Caenorhabditis elegans: one gene and its partners. The protein of the gene in region 1 interacts with the protein of each later gene in a pairwise test. Each region holds a gene or a part of one and is shown in the gene's direction. Other genes may lie near its edges. The genes, in order: zyg-8, F30H5.3, oaz-1 and tald-1.

Region 1 (4,890 bases):
TCCCCATTCACACTACCTCACCTTCAGTATCACGGGCTTCTGGCCTTCCTCATTGAATTTTTCGCGCTCCATTGACAATCGCCTGCCGGACAACGCGTGGGAAAGTCGTGTACTCCACACGGACAAATACATTTAGTTTTACAATCGAGCCGCGACGCGACACGCAACGCAACGTAAATCTACCCCAGATTTGGCCTGGCCTAGTTCGGCAAAAAACTCTTCCATTTCAATTTATGGAGGGAAGCCAGAAATCCGTGTAATATTCTTATCACAAACCGCACCTTTTTCGGCGGAGACGCAGGTGGCGCTGCACAAATGAGAAGCTGTTTAATTGGCTCTGTGGTCCCTCCGGATACCCCCTAACTAATCCCTCGTCTATTCCGTCCCCCGGCTCTGCGTTGGCTCGCGCGCGCCCCTCCCGTCAGCCAAATCAACCCACAACAACACCCGTCTGCCCTTTAGCTCTTTCGAATGAGAGGAAAACGAGAAGCAGCTCACTGCTCACTGCTCTCTGTGTGCACGCCTAGTTAATTCCCACATTCGACATTCCATGCATTTTGGAGACCAATGCTCGCGGACAGCTCATTTTGGACAATGATTCGAATTGTCAGCTAGTCATAGCATAGTAAAATTATCTCCTTTTTTTTGGTGTCACGTGGCGTCTCATTTCGGTTTGATCTACCTAGATCTACAAAAAATGCGGCAGAGTTCTCAACTGATTTCGCATGGTTAAGAACGTGCTGACGTCACATTTCTTTGGGCGAAAAATTCCCGCATTTTTTGTAGATCAATCCGTTATGGGACAGCCTGATGGAAATTTTGCTTCAAAAATCTTTAAAAAATCGAAAAAAAAAATTTCTCAGAAAATTTGAATTTCCCGCCAAAATTATTTTAAGAGAAAATTTGAATCCTCGCCAAAACAAATTCGAAAAAATAAAAAAAAATTTCCCGCCAAATTTTTTTTTCGGAAAATTTGAATTTCCCGCCAAAATAGATATTTTCCGAAAATTTGAATTTCCCGCCAAAAAAAAATTAAAAAAATTTTGAATTTCCCGCCTAAATAGGTTTTTTTTCTCGAAAAAAAATTGAATTTTCCGACGAAATAGTTGTTTCACAGAAAATTTGAATCTCCCGCCAAAATAGATATTTTCTCCGAAAATTTGAATTCCCGCCAAAAAATTCTAAAATTTTTAAATTTCCCGCCAAATTTTTTTTCGGAAAATTTGAATCCCCGACAAAAATTTTTTTTCCCAGAAAACTTTAATTTTGCTCAGAAAATCTCAAAAAAATTTGAATTTTCCACTTTTTTTTCAGAAAAAAAAATTGTTTTTCTAAAATAACAAAAAAAAAGATTAATTCCCGTCTATAGCACTTGCACCATACCCGATTGGAATTGTCCTCCTCGATTTTTAGTTCATTTTCTGTCCAATCTTTTGATTTTGCATTCCTTTCTCTTTTTCATATCCAAGGCCCATTCCGGTTTGATCTACAAAAAATGCGGGAGAAAAGACACAAATTTCTCAATTGATTTCGCATGGTTAAGAACGTGCTGACGTCACATTTTTTGGGCCAAAAATTCCCGCATTTTTGGTAGATCAAACCGTAATGGGACGGCCTGTTGCCACGTGGTATATCCCCACGTGGTGTCAGGCAGTCTCATTGCGGTTTGATCTACAAAAAATGCGGGAACTTTCCCCCAGGAAAATGTGACGTCAGTACACTCTCATTCGATGCTAAATCAGCTGAGAAATCTGCGTCTCATCTCCCGCATTTTTGGTAGATCAAACCGTAATGGGACGGCCTGACACCGCTCCGTCCTCCTCTCGTGGTTGCGCCTAACTATCGCTAATTTGGTGTTTTTTTTCGGTGTTAGACTATCTCTACTCGAACGATGCCACAAACGTCGGCGTGGCAGCTCAACGACACAACTGCTAGACCACCACCACCACCACCACCACCTGGATCTGAAGCTGGAGGATCGGATGGAGCATCTATGAATGGAGCCAACACATTGCCACGTGTATCGAAGAGGGTTTCCGCTGCTGGAAAAACGTCGAATATTCCACGATTCAAACGACGTAAGAATTGAGTGTTTGGCTTGAATTTCCCCGTTGGTGGCTTGCTTGCTTCAGCTTACGGGATATGGTTTTTTTTAATGATGAATCCGTGAATTTTGCAACAAAAAAGCAGCGTCGCACAGAAAAAGAGGCGGAGCGTAATTTTGCAACCCTGCGGCACGGTTTTTTCTCCTTTTTTTCTGAATTTTTTTTTTCGATTAATTTCATTTTTTTTACAACCATGAAATATCCTCACAATCTAATAATAAGTAAATTGGGTAATACTTTCATTCGAAAAAAGACAAATAAAAAATAGAGAAAAAACCGTGCCGCAAGGTTGCGAAATTACGAAATTACACTCCGCCTCTTTTTCGGTGCGATGCTGCTTTTTTGCAAAATTCACGGATAGATTGTTTAATTTCAATAGTACTGAGTTGAAAACTTGAAAAAAGAGACATTTTTATTTGTAAAAAGCTATTAAAAAATGATTAATACCGTCAGACTGTTGAAAACGATTTTTCCGGCAAATCGACAAATTGCCGGATTTGCCGGAAAAAAATGGCCCCTAAATTTTCCGGCAAATCGGAAAGTTGCCGGATTTTAAATTTTCCGCAAATTGGCCGATTTGCCGGAAAAAGCGGCCCCTAAAATTTTCGATTTTTCTATTTTCCGAAATTCAGAAAATTACCCATAAGATATGATTTTTTAAAAATCTAATTTTGTTTATATATTCATGATAAAGAACATCTAAAAATAAGAACAATGATCAAAGTTTAAGCGAATTTTTAAAAAATCGAAAAAATTTCGAAATATCGATTTTTCGATTTTCAAAAATCGAAAAAACCGACACCCTTGATCGTTATCACTATTCGAAAATAATTGAATCTAAAGAATCGAGATCCTGTAAATCTACACTACAGTAGTCATATAAAGAATTACTGTAGTTTTCTTTTCGCTACGAGATATTTTGCGCGTTAAATATTTTTTTGTGTTCCCGTGTAATATAATCCTAATTTCCAGCCCATCTCCCTCATTCGACACGTCCTCTCTCCGCAGTCTTGACATCATCATCATCTCCAGTTGTTCATAGAAAGATCAGTCCATCATCATCTGCTCCATCAACATCCTCCGCACATCGTCGATTCTCGCATCTTCCTCAACAACACTTCCACCATCATATTCATCACAATCAGACCGCAGTGATCAGTGAAGAAACACTGACAACTCCACGAGCATCGACTCTTAATCTCAATCAGACAAGCGTCTTCCCAACGGCAATTTCCCAGGGAAGCATGCCGAATAGTGGCACGAACACTGCGGAAGCGTCAATGACGTCATCCGTATGTGCCATGGAAACCGAGGGAACGAATGGAGATGAGCTCGCAGAGTCCAGGGATATGGTCTCAGAAATGCAGCGGAGGTGTCGAATCGGGCCATCCGGGTATCCGCATTTACTGAAAGCCAAGCGACTCCGGTTCTATAGAAATGGGGATCAATATTTCAAAGGGATTCAGTATGCTTTACAAAGTGACCGGGTGAAGAGTATGCAACCACTTATGGAAGATTTGATGAAAACTGTAATCTGTGACTCGACGGCTCTTCCACACGGAATCCGTCACATTTTCACGATCGACGGCGCTCAACGCATCACTTCCGTAGATCAATTCGAAGACGGCGGTGGTTATGTGTGTTCGAGTACCGACGCTTTCAAACCGGTCGATTATTCGAGAGCCGCCGAGCCAAGTTGGCGTCTGACACTTGCCAATCGATACAATCGACACTTGGAGACGAAGAAGCTGGCGTTGAGTGTCGTAGAGCCGTGTCATGAGAATACGGATTTCGTGTTTCCACGAATTATCAAGGTTATTCGGAATGGGGTGAAGCCAAGGCGGATTAGTAGGCATTTGTTGAACAAGAAGACGGCGAGGTGAGAGCAAAAAATCGCCCCGACCAATCAGCGATTCGCTCCGCCGCCCACTTTCCAACCAATCAGGCGACGTGGGTGGAGTTCGAAGGTGTTGATTGGTCGGGTGAAGTCTCATTTTGAAGGGAATTCAAAAATGATTGTTTTTTTCGCGTTTTTCCTATTTTCCTAAGGAAAAAAAAATTATTTTTCAACCAAAAAAAGTGGCGGCGATTCAAAATTTTGAATGAAAAAGACAAAAAATTCAAAAAAAAAATATGCGAAAGAACGAAAAATTCGAATTTTTCTGCGACCAATCAGCAATTCGCTCCGCCCATTTTTCGCCCAATCAGGTGAGGTGGGCGGAGTTTGAAGATGCCTAAACGAGAACTCCCGCCCACTTCTTCAGATTGGTTCAAAAGTGGGCGGAGCTAATCGCTGATTGGTCGCAGATTTTTTTTGAATTTTTTGTCTTTTTTCTTAAAAATGTTGAACCGTCGCAACTTACAAAAAAAAAATTTTTTTTCATTACGAAAATAGGAAAAAAGCGAAAAAAACAATCAATTTTGAATTCCCTCCAAAATGAAACTTTACCCGACCAATCAGCGCCTTCGAAACCCCCCCCCCCCCCCCCCCCCCACTTCATCTGATTGGTTGAAAAATGGGCGGAGCAAATCGCTGATTGGTCGCAGTGGGAATTTGTCTAAAATTGGAAAAAATCGGTGTTTTTTGTTTTTTTTTCGAATTTTTTCCCAAAAAAAACACAAAAACCCAATTTACACTGCGACCAATCAGCGATTAGCTCCGCCCACTTTCCAACCAATCAGATGGAGTGGGCGGAGTTCGAAGGCGCTGATTGGTTGGTGAAAATTCGGTTATATTCCCTCCAAAAAGAGAACTCCCCGCCCACTTCATCTGATTGGTTGAAAA
Region 2 (7,906 bases), about 12 Mb from region 1:
AGCATTGGAGAAAGTTCGGAATTACTGCAAAAGTTCAGAAATAACAAAAATTAGCATTTTTAGTCAAATCTTGACTTAAAAAATAATTTTTTCACAACGGGGTTTCTGAAGATTAACAATCGACAACGATTTTTCTCCAAATCCCCAACTTTTCTTATTTCAGAACCACAATGCCCATGGTATGCTCCGTGCGCTGCTCAACGAAGGCGATAGATTCTGTTACTCTTTCCCCAGTTGTCTTTTTTAATTCTCCCGAGGTATACACCTTGTCTCGTTACGGTTATTTTTCTTTTTCTTCTTTCCCCCGTCTCTTTGTTGCTCCGGAGATGTTCTATAACAAAAATTCTAAATAAAGAAACTCTCAATTTAATCCACTGCAATTCCAATTCAACTCCCCCCGCCTTCCTAAAAACAGTCGTTAGCCACCCAAAACAAACAGTCGGAACAAAAAAAGCGGCGCACCGGTGCTGCGCGTGTTTTTCATCAGGTCATGATTTGCTCGCGGAGAGAGGTGAGACCGGCGAAAAAGTTCACTCTTTTTGGAGTTCCGCGCCGCGCGTGATCTTATCATTGTGAGCGCGCGCGAGAGCCCCGATTAGAAGAGAAGCGGTGTTGGTTTGTACAATATTTGAACCAGCGCCGCCGCCACCAACATTAAACATACAGTAAAACATACATATGTTTGGTGCGAAGATCAGTTTCTCTTGACGTACACTTTATAATGAGATAGGATGGATGCCCGCGCGGATCAGAGGAAACTGGGCCAAGTATGCTACACAAAAATACACTAAACCTCGGGTGTTAAGGATGTCAGAAAGTGTTTCTGTGCAGTAGCGGGCTGAAATCACAGGATCATCCTGCTGGATACTCAAGAAGACGGTTACTTTCAAAATTTTTGCGAATTGCAAAAAACCATTTTCGAAGCGGTGATTTTTCACGAAAATCAGTTTCGCAAATCCTAAGGTATTCGTGGAAATTTTTTGTAGAAATTAAAAAAAAAGAAACTTATGATGTCAGCTCATAATTCAAGTTCGGAATCAGCTCATAATTCAAGTTTCACGAAAACCAAAAAGCTCAGTGATCTTTTTCGAGAATCTTACCCCTTAAAATTTTTACCGATTTTTCTGAATTTCAAACGTACTTAGTCTTGCGCTGTTCCACTCCACTTTGACTTTTCATACCTTTGGTAATCTTCACGCTACGTGGCAACAGTATGAAAAACAGAGACTTCTCATGAAGACGAAGAAATTGTGAAATGAATGAAAATTTAAACTAGTGTTCAATATGGCCCATGGTACTAATGAGTAAGGCTACACGTCATATCCAAAAAAATATCGTGAACTGATAAGTTATCAAACTATAGAAGACGATATAACGAATATCTTGGCAGTTGACAATTCTTGAGAAATCCAATGACAACATAGATGTAGGTTGTCAACATTGGAAATATCTAGCATTTTTTATAGAGCTAGTACAAGTTTAGTTGAACACAGATTTTTCATATATTATGCATACATATCGCACATGTTTCTGGGGACTTTTACTAATTTATCTTATCAGATGTGTTTTTTAACCCGCTATTCAAAGAAAATTAGAGAATGCGAGTATGACTACTGAGAGTGTGAAAACCGAAGCTCAATGATATCATACAAAATTCCGAAATGCCGATCATAAGCCCCTATCATGCTCCGTATACAATGTACCAGGCTCAATTACGATGTTGCTCTCTCTCCCCTCCCCACCGCTCTCAACATGTAAATCGCATTACACGAGTGACCCGAACTGTATTCTCGAACGAGAATCTTGCGAAACCGCGGGTAAACAACACCAAGAGAAACCCCTCCTCTCTTGGCTCTGCGAGCACACAAATATAGTGACCCCTCCCTCGCTCCCTCCCCTGACCTTGACCAGCAGACTCAGCTCAACACAAAAGCCATTCGATTGCAACTCGTCTTGGATTCGAACCACCCCGCACCATCATCATCAGAAGGCAATCAAAGAATTATCTGATTATTTTCGTATGATTTTCAATCAATAACAAAAGAGCCATTTCATATATCCAGGTCTCTATCACATTTCCAAATTGCCCTTCTTTATTGTATTCAATTACTCATTTTGAACACTCATTATATAATAATCACAAACATCAATCAATTGATATTCCGCAGCAATGCGTAACTGGTTTATTTTACTCCTGCTTGCAGGTAAGCTTTTTCTTTTTTGCCGGATTTTTTTATGGTTGCTTTGAAAACTTTTGAATCAAATTCTTTAACATAAGCAATACTTTAATTCAAATTTTTAGAGTTTGAATTCTGCTACTTGACACTTGGACTTTTTCTTGCTAGCAATATGAACTTGAAAGTTTTCTTCAAATTTTGATTCAATTTACGAGGGTTAGCACAATACTTAAACTCAGAAATATCAGCATAAAGTTCTTGAAACTATTTTAACATATATATTTTTATAAAAATATAATTTTTGCAAACTTAGTTGTCGGAGAAGAACTTATAAAACTAAGAATGTGTTCCTACAAGTCTAGCCTAAAGAGCTCTAACCCTAAAAATGAGTAGTTTCACCACTGTAGGTTTTTGACCCTTATTTATTATACAAAAAGTATGCTGTGAGTCGGTAGTTTTTATGGAATTTTTTTGAAAATTTGACTTTTACCTCAAAACCCCACTCAAAAACAGCAAGCCATCTCTTTTTTACTCTTGAAAACTTAAAACGTCAAAATTTCTATCACTACCTAAAAATCAAAGCACGATTCTATTCTCAGAATTGTTCAAAATAAATCTAGTCTTTAAATATTCGTTCTAGCCCAAGATTTTGCATTAAACTGGCCTATGCCTTTACGAAATCAGCACTAACATGAATTTTAAAGCTTCCTGGGGGTCTTAGGTGCTTCACAACTGCCAGACCCAGACCATCAAAACACCCATCAGGTCACAAGTCCAATTAAATTCTATTTTTAGAGCACCAGACTAGAGAGTTCAACTTGCATAATACCTTTTTCGTGTTTCTAGTGCTCTCTCTCTCTATCGCCGCGCCGCGTTCCAAAACAAATCCAAGCACATACAATAAAATTGGCAAACATTGTGTGGGGGGTTCTCAGTGTCTGAGATTCGATTCGCCGCAAATATGGCGGCGGCGGCGTGACTGTTGCCCGATTTGGGTTAAAGCGGCCGCGAGCGCAGACGATCGTGCCTTGAGGATTGGGAGCAGGTGGTGACGAATAGTAAAACTTTTTGTTTCAGGAGGCACATATGCAGTCGAGCAGAAGCCGATTTGCAGGATAGGCGATGGTTGTGACACGTCCGGATGTCGGATACCGACTGAAGGTGATAAGTGTGATGAGGAGATGACTATTGATTCCATCTATTGCGATCTTGCCACAAAGTAAGACCACTTTTGAATAAGGAAGCTGTTACTAAACACGACTTTTTCTAATTTCAGCAAGACCGACACTCACGAGAACGCGTTCCTTATCTGCAATCTTGTCAAGAAGGAAATCGAACGAAAGATTTGTCCGAAAGTATAAAATCTATTCCAGTTGTTGAATAATCTTAACAAATTCTCAATTTTTAGAGCCAATTCTTCATTGACGGAAAGTGCCGAACTGGCAATGTTCGGTACAAGCGGCAAGGAGTTGCCGGATCCGGAAGAGTTGGAGATTTTTGCAGCTTCAACACCGATTGCTTGACTGTAAGTGGATTTTGAACTTCTTCGAGATTCTAAAATTCAAATTTCCAGGGAATGTTCTGCTCCACAGGATCTTGCACATGCCTCTCGAACTTCGTCGCCATCCAAGGATACTGCTACCTGAAGAAGAATCCAGGAGAGTCTGGATGTCAGTACGCCGAGCAGTGCTCCGCAGTATGGCCAGAGTCGCGGTGCGAAAAGTCGAGATGCGAGTGCCCGGAGGATGTGAATGGAATTCCATATGTTCAGGCCAAGACCAGGGACGGAGTCGTTTGTGTTCTTCATTCCGGAGAAGACGGAGATCCGGTGCCAAAGTGCCCACTTCCAGAGTGAGTTTTTATTCAGTGGGAGCTATTTTGTGACTTCAAGCTTCAGCCTAAACCTAAGCCTGAACCAAAGCCAAGCCTCATAGTCAGTCTGATACTGAGTCACAACCTAACTAGCTACCTTCTTATCGTTAATTTCCAACTTCTTCTAGATACGACGATGATCTCCTCACAATGCCAGTGTCCCAACTTCGCAACCCTCACATGACCGATCCAGACGATGCTGACATTCAAATGGGCGAGCACATCAACCCACTTCAATTCTGCTCCTCTCAATCCACCGACTATACCACCTTCATCGCCAACGGAGGAGGTGCGTGTGCTTACGCGACCGATGCTAACAACGCTCAGGAAGGAGATGGTATCTATATCGCTGATATCTATGATTGTGTCACCTCCACGACATCAATGGCCAACGTTAAGACTGCAATGGAAGGAGTTTATGACATTCATCCAGCCTCCGATGGTATCTGCTGTCCTAACAGAGCCTTCACCTGCATCCAACCAAAGAGAGAAGCTGATAGTGGAAGTTCGGCGCCAGCAGGAGTCCGTCCAAGATGGTGGTACAACGCTGTCACTGGCACCTGCGAACAATTCATGTGGGACCCATGGGATGAGACCGAGATGCAATCACCAAACAACTTCAAGACTCGTGAGCACTGTGAATCCTATTGTAGAGACACTTGTAAGCGTGGATCCCCACAATACCTCACCGGATCCGCTCAGAATGAGGATGAAGTCGTCAGCAACTGCCAGACGGCCTCTTCCTGCACATCTAACTTCGAGTGCACTTCCATTGGATCCATGCAGCTCTGCTGCCCAACTGTCGCCAGCGTCTGCTCCAACACCGGAGGCCGTCCAGTCGACTTGGTCCGATCCACCAACTTTGACGCCGGTATGTTGATGAAGCGCAGCTTCTCCATGACCTTCTCCACGAGCTCGCGATACTATTACGACGCGGAGCAGGGAAGATGCATCGCGTTCACCTACAACGGAGCACTCGGAAACTACAACAATTTCAAGTCGTCAGCTGATTGCGAGTTGTTCTGCGCCAAATTGCAATGCAAATACGGAACTCCACTCAAGATTGGGTCATCTAATCAGGTATGTGCAGTGTAAATAACACCGGGGGTACCGGAGGTTTCGCGAGTTCGAATTCGTATTTCGAGAAAAATGAAATTTTCAGAGATGCTCCGCCAGTGCCGACTGTCCAAGTACCCACGAGTGCCAGTCAGATCACAATGTCTGCTGTCCAAGACCTCGTAAGTTTTAGAGTTTTAAATTTTTTACTCAGTTTACTCAGTCCTAGGCTAAGATTGCAATACGACCTAGACCTATCATCAGTTCCTCAGCCCACTAAAAACCTCAAAACATTAATTCCAGAAGCCATCTGCTCCCAACCCCTCCGCCTCGGAGACTGCAAGCAATCCGTCCGCCGTTACTGGTACAACGCAGTTACCCGTGCCTGTGAGATCTTCGACTACACCGGCTGCCAAGGAAACGATAACAACTTCGAGACCCTGTTGGAGTGCCAGAACACTTGCGAGAACATTATTCCAGAGCCACAGTGCCCACAAGGAGACGCCTACAAGGATTACCAAGGAAACTACTACGTCTGCTCCAACTCTGGAGCTGGAAACTCTTGCCCAGTCAACTATGAATGCTATTTCGACGGATACGTGTGGGGATGCTGCCCGACCAAGGCCTACACCTGTACCCTTTCCCCACATAAGGGAGTCACCTGCGGATCTGGATCTTCTTACAGATACTATTACAACTCTCAGACCCAAGAATGTGAATCCTACCAGTACAATGGATGTGACGGAAACTCCAACAACTTTGCTACGCGCGAGGATTGTGAAGGATACTGTGGAGTCGGAGGATGTCCAAATGGTGGAACTCCAGAACGCAACGAGTTCGGTCAGCTTATGGTCTGCTCGACCACCCAGGTGTGCCCAGGAACCCACGAGTGTACGTCTGTAAACTCTGGAAGCTCAGTTGTCAACCGTTGTTGCCCAACTCGTGCCTACATCTGCTCTCTTCCACCACAACAAGGATCCTCCTGCAGCTCATCCGCCGCTGCTCGATTCTACTTCAATATTGTCACCAAGGAGTGCACCCAGTTCACCTACAACGGATGCTCCGGAAATCTCAACAATTTCGCCACCCTCGAGCAATGTAACAACTTCTGCCTTTCAGCTGCCTGTACCCCTGGAGATGTAGCCTACGTGAACCCCAACACAAATATGCCATATGAGTGCAATGCAGCTCTATCCAACAGTTGCCCAACCAACTTCGCTTGTACCTACGATCAGCTGTCCTCCAACTCTGTTTGCTGTGGAGCCACCAACATGGATGTCTGCCCAGAAGGCGAGAAGGCTTACGTCAACGCTGCCGATATGGGAGTCCGCGAGTGTCTGATCAATGTGGAGGGATCCTGCCCGAGCAACTATCTCTGCAGATTCAACGCCATGAAGAACAGATACTACTGCTGTGCCTCGATCACAGGAGATCTCTGCCCATCTGGAAAGGCTCTTTACAAGGAACCAAGCTCCAAGGCCCCGATTCGTTGTACCATCAGCAGCAACAACAACCAATGCCCAACCGGGTACACCTGTCAGTCCGATGTTCCAGGCGCTTTCCAAGGATACTGCTGCTCTGGAAACCATCTCTGTCCAAACAAGGCCGAGTTCTACTTGGAAGAATCCTCCCAGATGCCAAGATCCTGCACAGTTGGAGCATTCATCACTTGTCCAAATGGTTACTCCTGTCAATCCACCCAAAACGAGTTCACCACCGGATTCTGTTGTAAGGGAGAGGTCGCTTCTGTCTCTGATGGTTGCCCACCTAATGAGTATGTGTTCATGAAGGACAACCAGATTGCCCCATGTGATCCATTTAACCCACCGAATGCTCCATGTCCAAATGGATACTCCTGCCAATGGTCGTTGGCTAACCAGAGATACCAATGCTGTGGAGCCACACCAATCACCACACCAAAGTCGATCGCTGCTCTCGGATGCCCGAACAACCAGGTCGCATTCCGCGAGAAGGCATCAAATGCTCCAAGAATCTGCACAGCCGCCTCTCAGAACTGCCCAACAGGGTTCTTCTGCCAATTCTCCACCGCTAACAATCAATTCCAATGCTGTGGAATGTCGGGAGGATGTCCAAATGATTCAGTTGCCTTCATCGGAATCACCGGAGAACCACAATCTTGCGCAATTGGTCAGAGCACTTGCCCATCCGGATATTCTTGCCAGAGAGCCATCTCAGGAGCACAACTCTGTTGTACCACAAACGACGAGCCAGTCGGACCAACAACTCCTACCAAGGGCTGCACCGAAAAACAAGTTGAGGTTGAGGGAGCCTGTCTCGATAAGAAATCTCTCGGAGACATCTGCAGTAACCAAGTTCAGTGCCCAACTGGAAGTCTCTGCAAGGAATCTGTGTGCTCTTGTCCAGAAGGACATCACGAACTCAACGGAGTTTGTCTCCCAGACTGTGGACCAAACGAAGTCGAGGTCGCCGGAAAGTGTGTTGCTAAATCCCTTATCGGAGAGGCTTGCGAAGCTGATGAACAGTGCCAAGGTGGATCTTCATGCCTTGACGCTACCTGCACCTGCCCAGAAGGCGAAGAGGCTGTCGAGGATGTTTGCATGAAGAAGATGTCGCGACCAATGTCGACTTGCCCAATTCCAGGACAGATTCCATTCCTCGAGTTGAGAACTAAAGCCGCCAGATTCTGTACTCCATCCCGTCCAAATTGTCCACGTGGATTCAGCTGTCAATTCTCTCAAACCGCTCAACAGAACATCTGCTGTGGAGGTGGGAAGGCGTCAGCAATCGTCGCCGAGAAGAAATCCGGAAAGCCAAGCACT
Region 3 (3,198 bases), on another chromosome or scaffold:
AAAGTTGAGAGATTCAGAGAAATTGCTGCTTCTCTGTTCTCTCCGTCAGCGCTTAAAAGCAGTGAAACGTGCCAATAGTTCTCCTTGATAACGACTCCCTTTTCTGGTTTTCTCTGTATCATTAGTACTTGAAAAGAAAGGAACTACGTACTCAATCTTTGATAATTGGTTGGTATACTGTCGTAATTTGTTGAATGATTTCGTAATAATTTAATTTTTATTTCTGGTTTCTGGTTTCTCTTAAAACTTACTCAAATCATTAATATTCCTATGCTCACATAAACTTAAAAGTTTTTCTTATCTGATCACAATCTAAATTAGGTCTGCAAATCATCTATCGAAAATCAATAATTATTTCGCAATAAAATAGGCGAAGAGCAAGTCTTATGACACTGTTATCTTTCCGGGAACATTCTCGGTCCACAATAGATAAGGCATCCAAATCATTCGATTCACTGTTTACACGTCGATCGATCTTGTTCTCCTTCTTCTCTATCTTCACTGTTTCACCTTCATTTTGCCTCAATAAGCTGTAGTGAAGTCATATGATTTTCTATTCTTTGTTGTCGAAATCGATTTTAATATAGAGTAGTTTCTAGTTTTACATTACTAAATCCACTCATTGATTCTATTGATCTCTCCTTTTTTAGGCGCAAATGTTTTGATTAATAATTACTTTCGATATCACAAGGCGCTGTTTGTCTGGTAATATTATGTTAGCTCCAGTTCTGATTAAAAATTTCCGTTAGAAAAAAGGTATTTTCGGAAAAGTATCCTAATGGCGTGAGTATACCAATTATTTGTATCATGGCAATTGAGCAGAACTGATAATCGAGTCCCACAGGGTTTACGATTTCTATTTGGATCTGATTTTGAAATGTGCAATAAGAAATAATCATCCCTACTTTCACTTTTGTAACGACCCATTTCGTCATTACCATATGACTTTCAAAGATCTGCGATGTGCACGTCACATATATTCATTCAAAATGGCGCCAGCAAGCCATTGAGCCAGAAAGAGCGTTTCTCTGTCGTCTCGCAATCTTTATGTCCCTCTGTTCCTCCGCCTCGCACTTCATTTATCGCCTGGTCACATGCTTCTTTGTGTTCACTCAATGTTCGTTCTGTATGTCTTGTGACAATTTACTTTAGAGGTTAATAACACAGAAATATAAGACAGTTCATTACTATGTCTGTTCTATAGATCTTCTTTGACATCAATACAACATTTTACGCTTTTAAGAATCAAAAGCCTCTAATTTCTATTTAAAAGCCACGAAGTAAATCAAATAATTGAACGAATCAAAAATCTCTTCTGACATGCTTTAATCTTTGGCATAAACTAATCGAATTATTCTAATTTATTTCTAGCATATTTGATTATAGGACACCGTAAATGTTGAGATTGGTTAAAATCAATTTTTAAACATCTGGGATACGAATCAGTTCTCTGGAATAATTTCTGATCACCACAACTATATTAATTTGTATTTCCGTTATGCTTCCTCGCCCTCGCCCACTCGTTCACTTTGCTTTTAAATCGATCTAATTCTTCTTAATTTCAGTTTCCCACCACCCGCTTCGTACCTATCAAGAGAGACAAGATGTCGAGTATTTTGAGTAGTAATTTTACGAATAAATCGAATCAATTGGTCAACGAGTCTGCCGTCGACAGGTGAGAATACAATGTGAAGGCAGTTTAAACAATAATATTTCGATTTTTCAGCTCGTTGACCGCCTCCCCATGCTCGACCCAGCCCGGCGACGTCGGATGGTGTTTTTGACGCCCCCCATGGCGTGCTCACCAAATTGCCGAACGAAACTCGCGCTATCGTATCGGCCGTTTCTCCAAACTGGCGCGTGACATCGATTGGCGAAAAGACATTGGCGATCATGATTCCACACGATCAACCGGTGCTCGGCATCTCTAAGAAGAACTTTGTGGACCTCTTGGAGTTCGCTGAAGACAAACTCGGTGAGTTCTATTTCAACCATTTCTAGATTTTCTACAAAGTTGTGTTTTTAAACGGAGAAATCCTGTTAAAAAGTTATATTCCCTGAGAAATGTTTGTAAACTTTTTTATTACAGAAATGGAGCGTGTTTTGGCTGTATTTGAGAAGGCTCGTATTAACCCAACGGAAGGATTCCCACGTACTCTTCGTTACGTCGGATTCCGTCCATATGCCATCGACGAGCATCCAGTTCATCTCCCAGCTGAAAAATACTTCATCATGAGCTACAAGGTCTAATGGATTCATCTCACCAATTTCTTTTCGTTTTATCGATTTCTCGCCGCTTTTAAAAATGTTATTTTTCTTTCTCTCACCTTTTTCTATACCAACCCCTCGAAAAAATGCACTTTAAAAACTTTCAAAAAATTTCCTCCTTCAAGAATTCTCTAGTATAATTCTCTAAATCTCTGTGTTCATGTAGTGTACAAATTCTTTAATTTTCCAGAAAAAATCCTTTTTGGCTATTTCTCTGATTATTTTTGCCCACCACACCCACTCCCATCCACAACCAGCTCATTCCTGTTTCTAAGAGATATTAGTGACCGATGCTTCCTGAGAAATTCTCTTTTTTTTAAAACATTCTTTAAATTAATCCCTCCTTTCCCACCACTTTTCTGTCCACGCGCCAGCTTTTTTGGAGAAACGAATAAATTGTCAAAAAAAAAACGATTTTGTAGAGAAATGTTCAAAATGCTCCGCCCATCATGAATTGGGTATCGTTAGGTCGATTACGCAAATGCGAAATTTTGAGACTATCTTACAAAAGTACGAAGCAAAAATACACTAGCGGGTCTCGACATGATCAATTTTCTTAAATTTGAAAGTGTGCGCCTTTAAGGAGTACTGTACGTGCAAGCTTAGGTTGCTCCGGAATTTTCATATTTTTTCCATAGTTTTGCTATACTATCAATTTATCAACAAAAAAAAACTATTTTTAGAAAAAGCTTGGAAGCATGAGAAAAACTATAATCAATGAAAATTAGGCAGAAACGAGAGTTTGATAATACAGTACTCTTTAAAGGCGCACACTCTTACATTTAATAACAAACAATTTTTGCGTCTGGGAATACCACTAGACCAGCATGGTAAAATAAAATATCGCAAAACAAAAAAAAGTTAGCGATTTTTTTGTGTTTTAGAAAAATCAGCCTGGTGAAACTCTCTGTTTGAGTTTCGAGACGAGAA
Region 4 (4,676 bases), on another chromosome or scaffold:
TTTGAACGATTTAATTTTTAAAAAACTAATAAATCGAATAAAATTGAAAAATCGATTTTTTTAACCCGAAAATTTTCTAAAAATTGATTCAGATAGAATTTCGCAAATTTTCATTCAAAAAATCACATTTTCAACATTCCAGGATTTTTTTAGCTAGAAATCGGGGCAATTTAGTGAAAATTTGCCAATTTTGGTTTAAAAAATCAACATTTTCACCCAAAACTTGTAATTGGCATGTTTAAAATTTCAAAATCAGACGATTTCAGTTGAAATCTGCTATTTTTGACTGGAAATATGTTTTTTTTCAAAAATATCCCAGTTTTAGATTATTATGGGTATTTTTTAAAGAAAAATCCAATTAAAAAAATATACATTTTCCATTTTATTTGAAGTTACACTCTGAAAAAAAAATTGTTTTCGAGGTGACGTAGCACCATGCATTTTCAACATTTTCCTCCAAAATTAGTGTCAAAGTATAGAAAATTAGTTGATTTATCTGAAAATGACATTTATTCGACTGAAAATTTGAGAAATTGCTCAAAAAAGGCCAGAAAGTTGACAATTGCCGAAATTAGTCAACTTTCAAGCCATTTCTGGGCATTTTCTCGAAGGCTTCAGCTGAAATTAATGTTATTTTCAAATAAATCGAGTGATTTTTCATATTTTTAAACTAATTTCAAGTTGTAAAAATGTTGGAACAACATGGTGCAACAGACCATTTTCTAGAATTGCCGCTCATTTAAAATACCCAAAAAATGTGTGAAATTTGATCATATTTGACTACAAAAAACGTTTTTTTTAATTTTAATTTTTTAAAAACTGGTAATTTTCCATTCTCGATATTGAACAAACGCCGAGGTTACGGTAATTATAGGATTTTCAGCAAAAATTTGCTTTTAAAATTACAAAAGTTTTTTTTTCGTTATTTCAGTCTTCTATGGCCGATTATTTGTATATTTTTAGGTCTGAAATTTAAATTTCAGTAGACTTTTTTGGCATTTTGACGATTTTCGCTTCAATTTTGACCTAAAAATCGATAATTTCACATTTTTAAATAATTTTTTGCGGAAAACTGTCTGAAAATGTGAGAAATTGTGTTTAAAATAATATTTAAAAAATGAAACAAAAAATTGAAACTAGGTCAAAATATTCGAAAGGAATTTCGCAAATAAATTTCAAAACTCAATAAATTTTCCAATTTTTGAAGATTTTTCCTTTTTTTCGTGTTAAAATTCCCAAAAAAATGTGTGAAATTTGATCATATTTGACTACAAAGAACAATATTTACTTTCTTTTTTTTCTCGAAAACCCCCCGATTCTCTTGCCATTTGCCCCCATAAAACTGCTGACAATTTCCAATTTTTCCTGCAGGTACTCACGCCATACCTCGCCCTGTTCCCGTTCCCATTCTACGCTCTCGTCAAATCAGTTCAACAACTACCATCGGTGATTGCCGAATCGATTCGTCAATGGTTCGAAATGACGACGACACATCATAGTTGAGAGGCTACAAACTACAGACTGCAAACTACACACATTTAGTCATATTCTTGTTTTTTTGTTACTACTTTACTTTATACCTTTTTATCATCATTTTTGTTACTTTTTTTCGAAAACTGTTTTTCTCACTTCCCTACTCCTTTTATCGTCATTTTTTTATGAGTTGTTACTTTTTTTTTGAAATTTTCCCCCTTTTTTGTTATTTTTTGTTCATTGTTCATTGTTTTCACATTGGTTAGTCGAATTATCATTATCATTATATCTATTAAAAATTTGAAATTTTTTTGATACGGTTTTTGTTATCTTTGATGCTATCAATGGGCTGCACTTTCCATTCGATCTCTCTCACGCGATTTTTCCCGTAATTTTCACGATTATTGATTTTTTTTTGACTTTTTCTAGGGAAATCATGTCGGTTTTGGAACAACTCAAAGGAGCATCAGTCGTTGTTGCGGATACTGGAGATTTTAATGGTAAAAATTTTGAACATTAAGAAAAAGTTCGAAAATGTGGTGAATAATTGATTTTTTTTGGCAGTTTTGAAAAAAAATTAAATTATCTGAAAATTCGATTTTTCTAGGAAGACCACTGTTATAATGTAAAAAACAGTAAATTTCTCGATTTTCAGATAGAAATCTGACTTTTTGAACTTTTTAAATTAATTTTTTTAGAGAAAAAAATACATATTTTCAAGAAGTTTCCAAAAAATTCGTTAAAACATTTTAAAAATAAATACTATTAAATTTTATGGAAGTATTGTAAATTTCTGGAATGTGCCATTTAAAAATTAGAATTTTTCAAAAATTCCAAAAAAAGCTGTGAAAAACTTTTTTTGGATAATTCGATGAATTCTCTTTTTTCTAAATTTTTGTAAATACTGGTGAAAAATATTTATTTTGAAAAAAATGTGTTTGCGCCTTTCAAAAGTACAGTACCCAGACGTTCCTTCAATTTCGTTTTTTTTTTCATTTTTCAACGTTTTCTCTCAAGAATTTAGATGAAAAGCGTGAAAAATTAATTTAAAAAATCAGGAAATGGGTTACTGTAAGTCTTAAAGGCGCACACCTTTGTTTTTTTCCTCGATTTTGTGTAAAAAGTCAAAAATCGAAAAATAAAACTCGAATTTTCCAGTTGAAAAAAGTACTTTTTTCAAAAATTGTTCTCAAAAAATCGATTTTTTTCAGCGATCAAGGAATTCCAGCCAACAGATGCAACTACCAACCCATCGCTCATCCTGGCCGCCTCAAAAATGGAGCAATACGCAGCATTAATCGATCAATCAGTTGCCTACGCAAAAGAGCACGCCAGTGGACATCAAGAAGTGCTCCAAGCGGCTATGGATCGACTTTTTGTAGTTTTTGGAAAAGAAATCCTGAAAACTATTCCAGGAAGAGTTTCCACAGAAGTTGATGCTCGTCTTTCATTTGATACTCAAGCATCGATTGATCGGGCTCTTGGACTTATTGCTCAATACGAGAAGGAAGGAATCTCGAAGGATCGGATTCTTATCAAACTTGCTTCAACTTGGGAAGGAATTCGGGCTGCTAAGTACGGCATTGGAGATTTTAGGAAAACTTTTCAGTTAAAAAACTTTTTTTTAAAAATCAAACTTGATGAAATTTTACCCATTTTTGATGATTTGCTTGGTTTAAAACACTACTAGTTTCGAAAAAATCAATTAAAAAACGAATTATACAAGATGAAATTGTTAAAAATTAACACATTTTAAATTAAAAACTAGAAATGCTTCGATTTTTCTTGTAAATCACCTAAAATCTACGGACATACCTTTTCGAAACATACAAAGTCTCGTTTCTATTAGTTTTCTACTGAAAATCTACTCAATTGGACCCAAATTGACATTTTTCAAAAGAGTTTAAGGCATTAATTATAACGGAAATAGTTCAAAATCAGCAAAAAATTAAATTTTCAGATTCCTCGAATCTAAGCACGGAATCCACTGCAACATGACACTGCTCTTCAACTTTGAGCAAGCAGTCGCGTGTGCCGAGTCAGGAGTCACCCTAATCTCGCCATTCGTCGGAAGAATCATGGATTGGTTCGTGAAGAATACCGATCAGAAGGCCTACACTCGAAAAGACGATCCAGGAGTTGTCAGTGTTACTCGAATCTTTAATTATTACAAGAAATACGACTATAAGACACAAGTGATGGCTGCCTCGTTCCGTAATACTGAAGAGATCAAGGGACTTGTTGGATGTGATCTTCTTACTATTTCTCCGGCTCTTCTGAAGCAACTTGCTGCGGAGACGGAACTTGCTCCAGTTGTGCTCTCCACTTCTCATGGTGAGCGGGAGATTTAATCAATTAAAAATTGCAATTTTTAATTATTTTCCAGCCAAGACACTCGACCTGCCGAAAGTGAGCATTGACGAGAAGGCGTTCAGATGGGCTCTCAACGAGGACGCCATGGCCACCGAGAAGCTCGCCGAAGGAATCCGCAACTTTGCCAAAGACGCCAGAACTCTGGAGAAGCTTATCGAGGCAAAGATCTAAATTGTATTGATTGATGTATTTGTCGTGCTTACTAGTTTTCCCCAATTTCATCAGTGTTGTGATTTCCCCTTAAATATTTCGTTACGTATTTTAATGAACCCTTATGTAATTTAAAGAGCACTGTAAAGGCAAGATACACAAAATAGCCGAACTCTTATCGCACTCTGCAAGTTTCTGGACAGTTGTGGCTGTGACACCCGGAATTGAACCCAACTAGAATTGTTCAGTGAAACCATATCGCAGACAACCAGCAAGCTCCAAGACAACGACGAACTAGGGAGACACTTCTCGGGAAAACTGTTCTCAACAATATCCAACAAGACCGATCCAAATGAGTACCACGAAGACTACCAATTATTGAAAAAGATACAAGCTTTGAATAACAAGTTTTTATTATCAACAAAAACAATTTAGAGCTTTCCAAGATCACGGGCACGAGCGCGCTCGATCTTGAGCTTCTTGGCATCAGACTTGGCGGACATGACACCTCCTCCCCAGTGCTTGCGGATCTCCTCGTGACGCTCGCTGAAGTTGTTGTTGACGGTCTCGACGAGCTTGTTCAAGGCAGATTTGTCCTCTCTGAATACAAAGAAATAATTATTTGCTCAAGAAACTATAGAATCTGAAACTTACGGGTTGACATCGACGAGAGCAACAGC

The links.
Region 2: the proteins of zyg-8 (region 1) and F30H5.3 interact in a two-hybrid assay, tested with the Caenorhabditis elegans proteins (one large-scale study listed by BioGRID).
Region 3: the proteins of zyg-8 (region 1) and oaz-1 interact in a two-hybrid assay, tested with the Caenorhabditis elegans proteins (one large-scale study listed by BioGRID).
Region 4: the proteins of zyg-8 (region 1) and tald-1 interact in a two-hybrid assay, tested with the Caenorhabditis elegans proteins (one large-scale study listed by BioGRID).

Annotation. Positions count from the first base shown.
Region 1 is NC_003281.10:12,059,848-12,064,737, forward strand, and holds the start of zyg-8 (Serine/threonine-protein kinase zyg-8), read left to right. Parts: upstream 1-1,865; 5' UTR 1,866-1,891; coding exon 1,892-2,078; intron 2,079-3,077; coding exon 3,078-3,984; intron 3,985-4,890. UniProt on the Caenorhabditis elegans protein: Probable kinase. Kinase activity may be involved in positioning of spindle poles in meiosis and mitosis. Plays a role in spindle positioning during asymmetric division of one-cell stage embryos.
Region 2 is NC_003281.10:506,182-514,087, reverse strand, and holds the start of F30H5.3 (BPTI/Kunitz inhibitor domain-containing protein), read left to right. Parts: upstream 1-1,870; 5' UTR 1,871-2,170; coding exon 2,171-2,204; intron 2,205-3,120; exon of another isoform or gene 3,121-3,212; intron 3,213-3,254; coding exon 3,255-3,396; intron 3,397-3,453; coding exon 3,454-3,532; intron 3,533-3,585; coding exon 3,586-3,702; intron 3,703-3,750; coding exon 3,751-4,028; intron 4,029-4,177; coding exon 4,178-5,129; intron 5,130-5,211; coding exon 5,212-5,287; intron 5,288-5,408; coding exon 5,409-7,906. Other genes in the region: T22F7.3 (BPTI/Kunitz inhibitor domain-containing protein), read left to right, coding at 164-213.
Region 3 is NC_003279.8:6,091,742-6,094,939, forward strand, and holds oaz-1 (Ornithine decarboxylase antizyme), read left to right. Parts: upstream 1-1,565; 5' UTR 1,566-1,604; coding exon 1,605-1,675; intron 1,676-1,726; coding exon 1,727-1,784; coding exon of another isoform or gene 1,785-1,975; intron 1,976-2,089; coding exon of another isoform or gene 2,090-2,250; 3' UTR 2,251-2,696; downstream 2,697-3,198. UniProt on the Caenorhabditis elegans protein: Ornithine decarboxylase (ODC) antizyme protein that negatively regulates ODC activity and intracellular polyamine biosynthesis and uptake in response to increased intracellular polyamine levels.
Region 4 is NC_003282.8:4,384,749-4,389,424, forward strand, and holds tald-1 (Transaldolase), read left to right. Parts: upstream 1-1,902; 5' UTR 1,903-1,909; coding exon 1,910-1,973; intron 1,974-2,684; coding exon 2,685-3,048; intron 3,049-3,433; coding exon 3,434-3,807; intron 3,808-3,859; coding exon 3,860-4,017; 3' UTR 4,018-4,132; downstream 4,133-4,676. Other genes in the region: F55F10.1 (Midasin), read left to right, coding at 1,372-1,503; rpl-7A (Large ribosomal subunit protein eL8), read right to left, coding at 4,428-4,596, 4,651-4,676.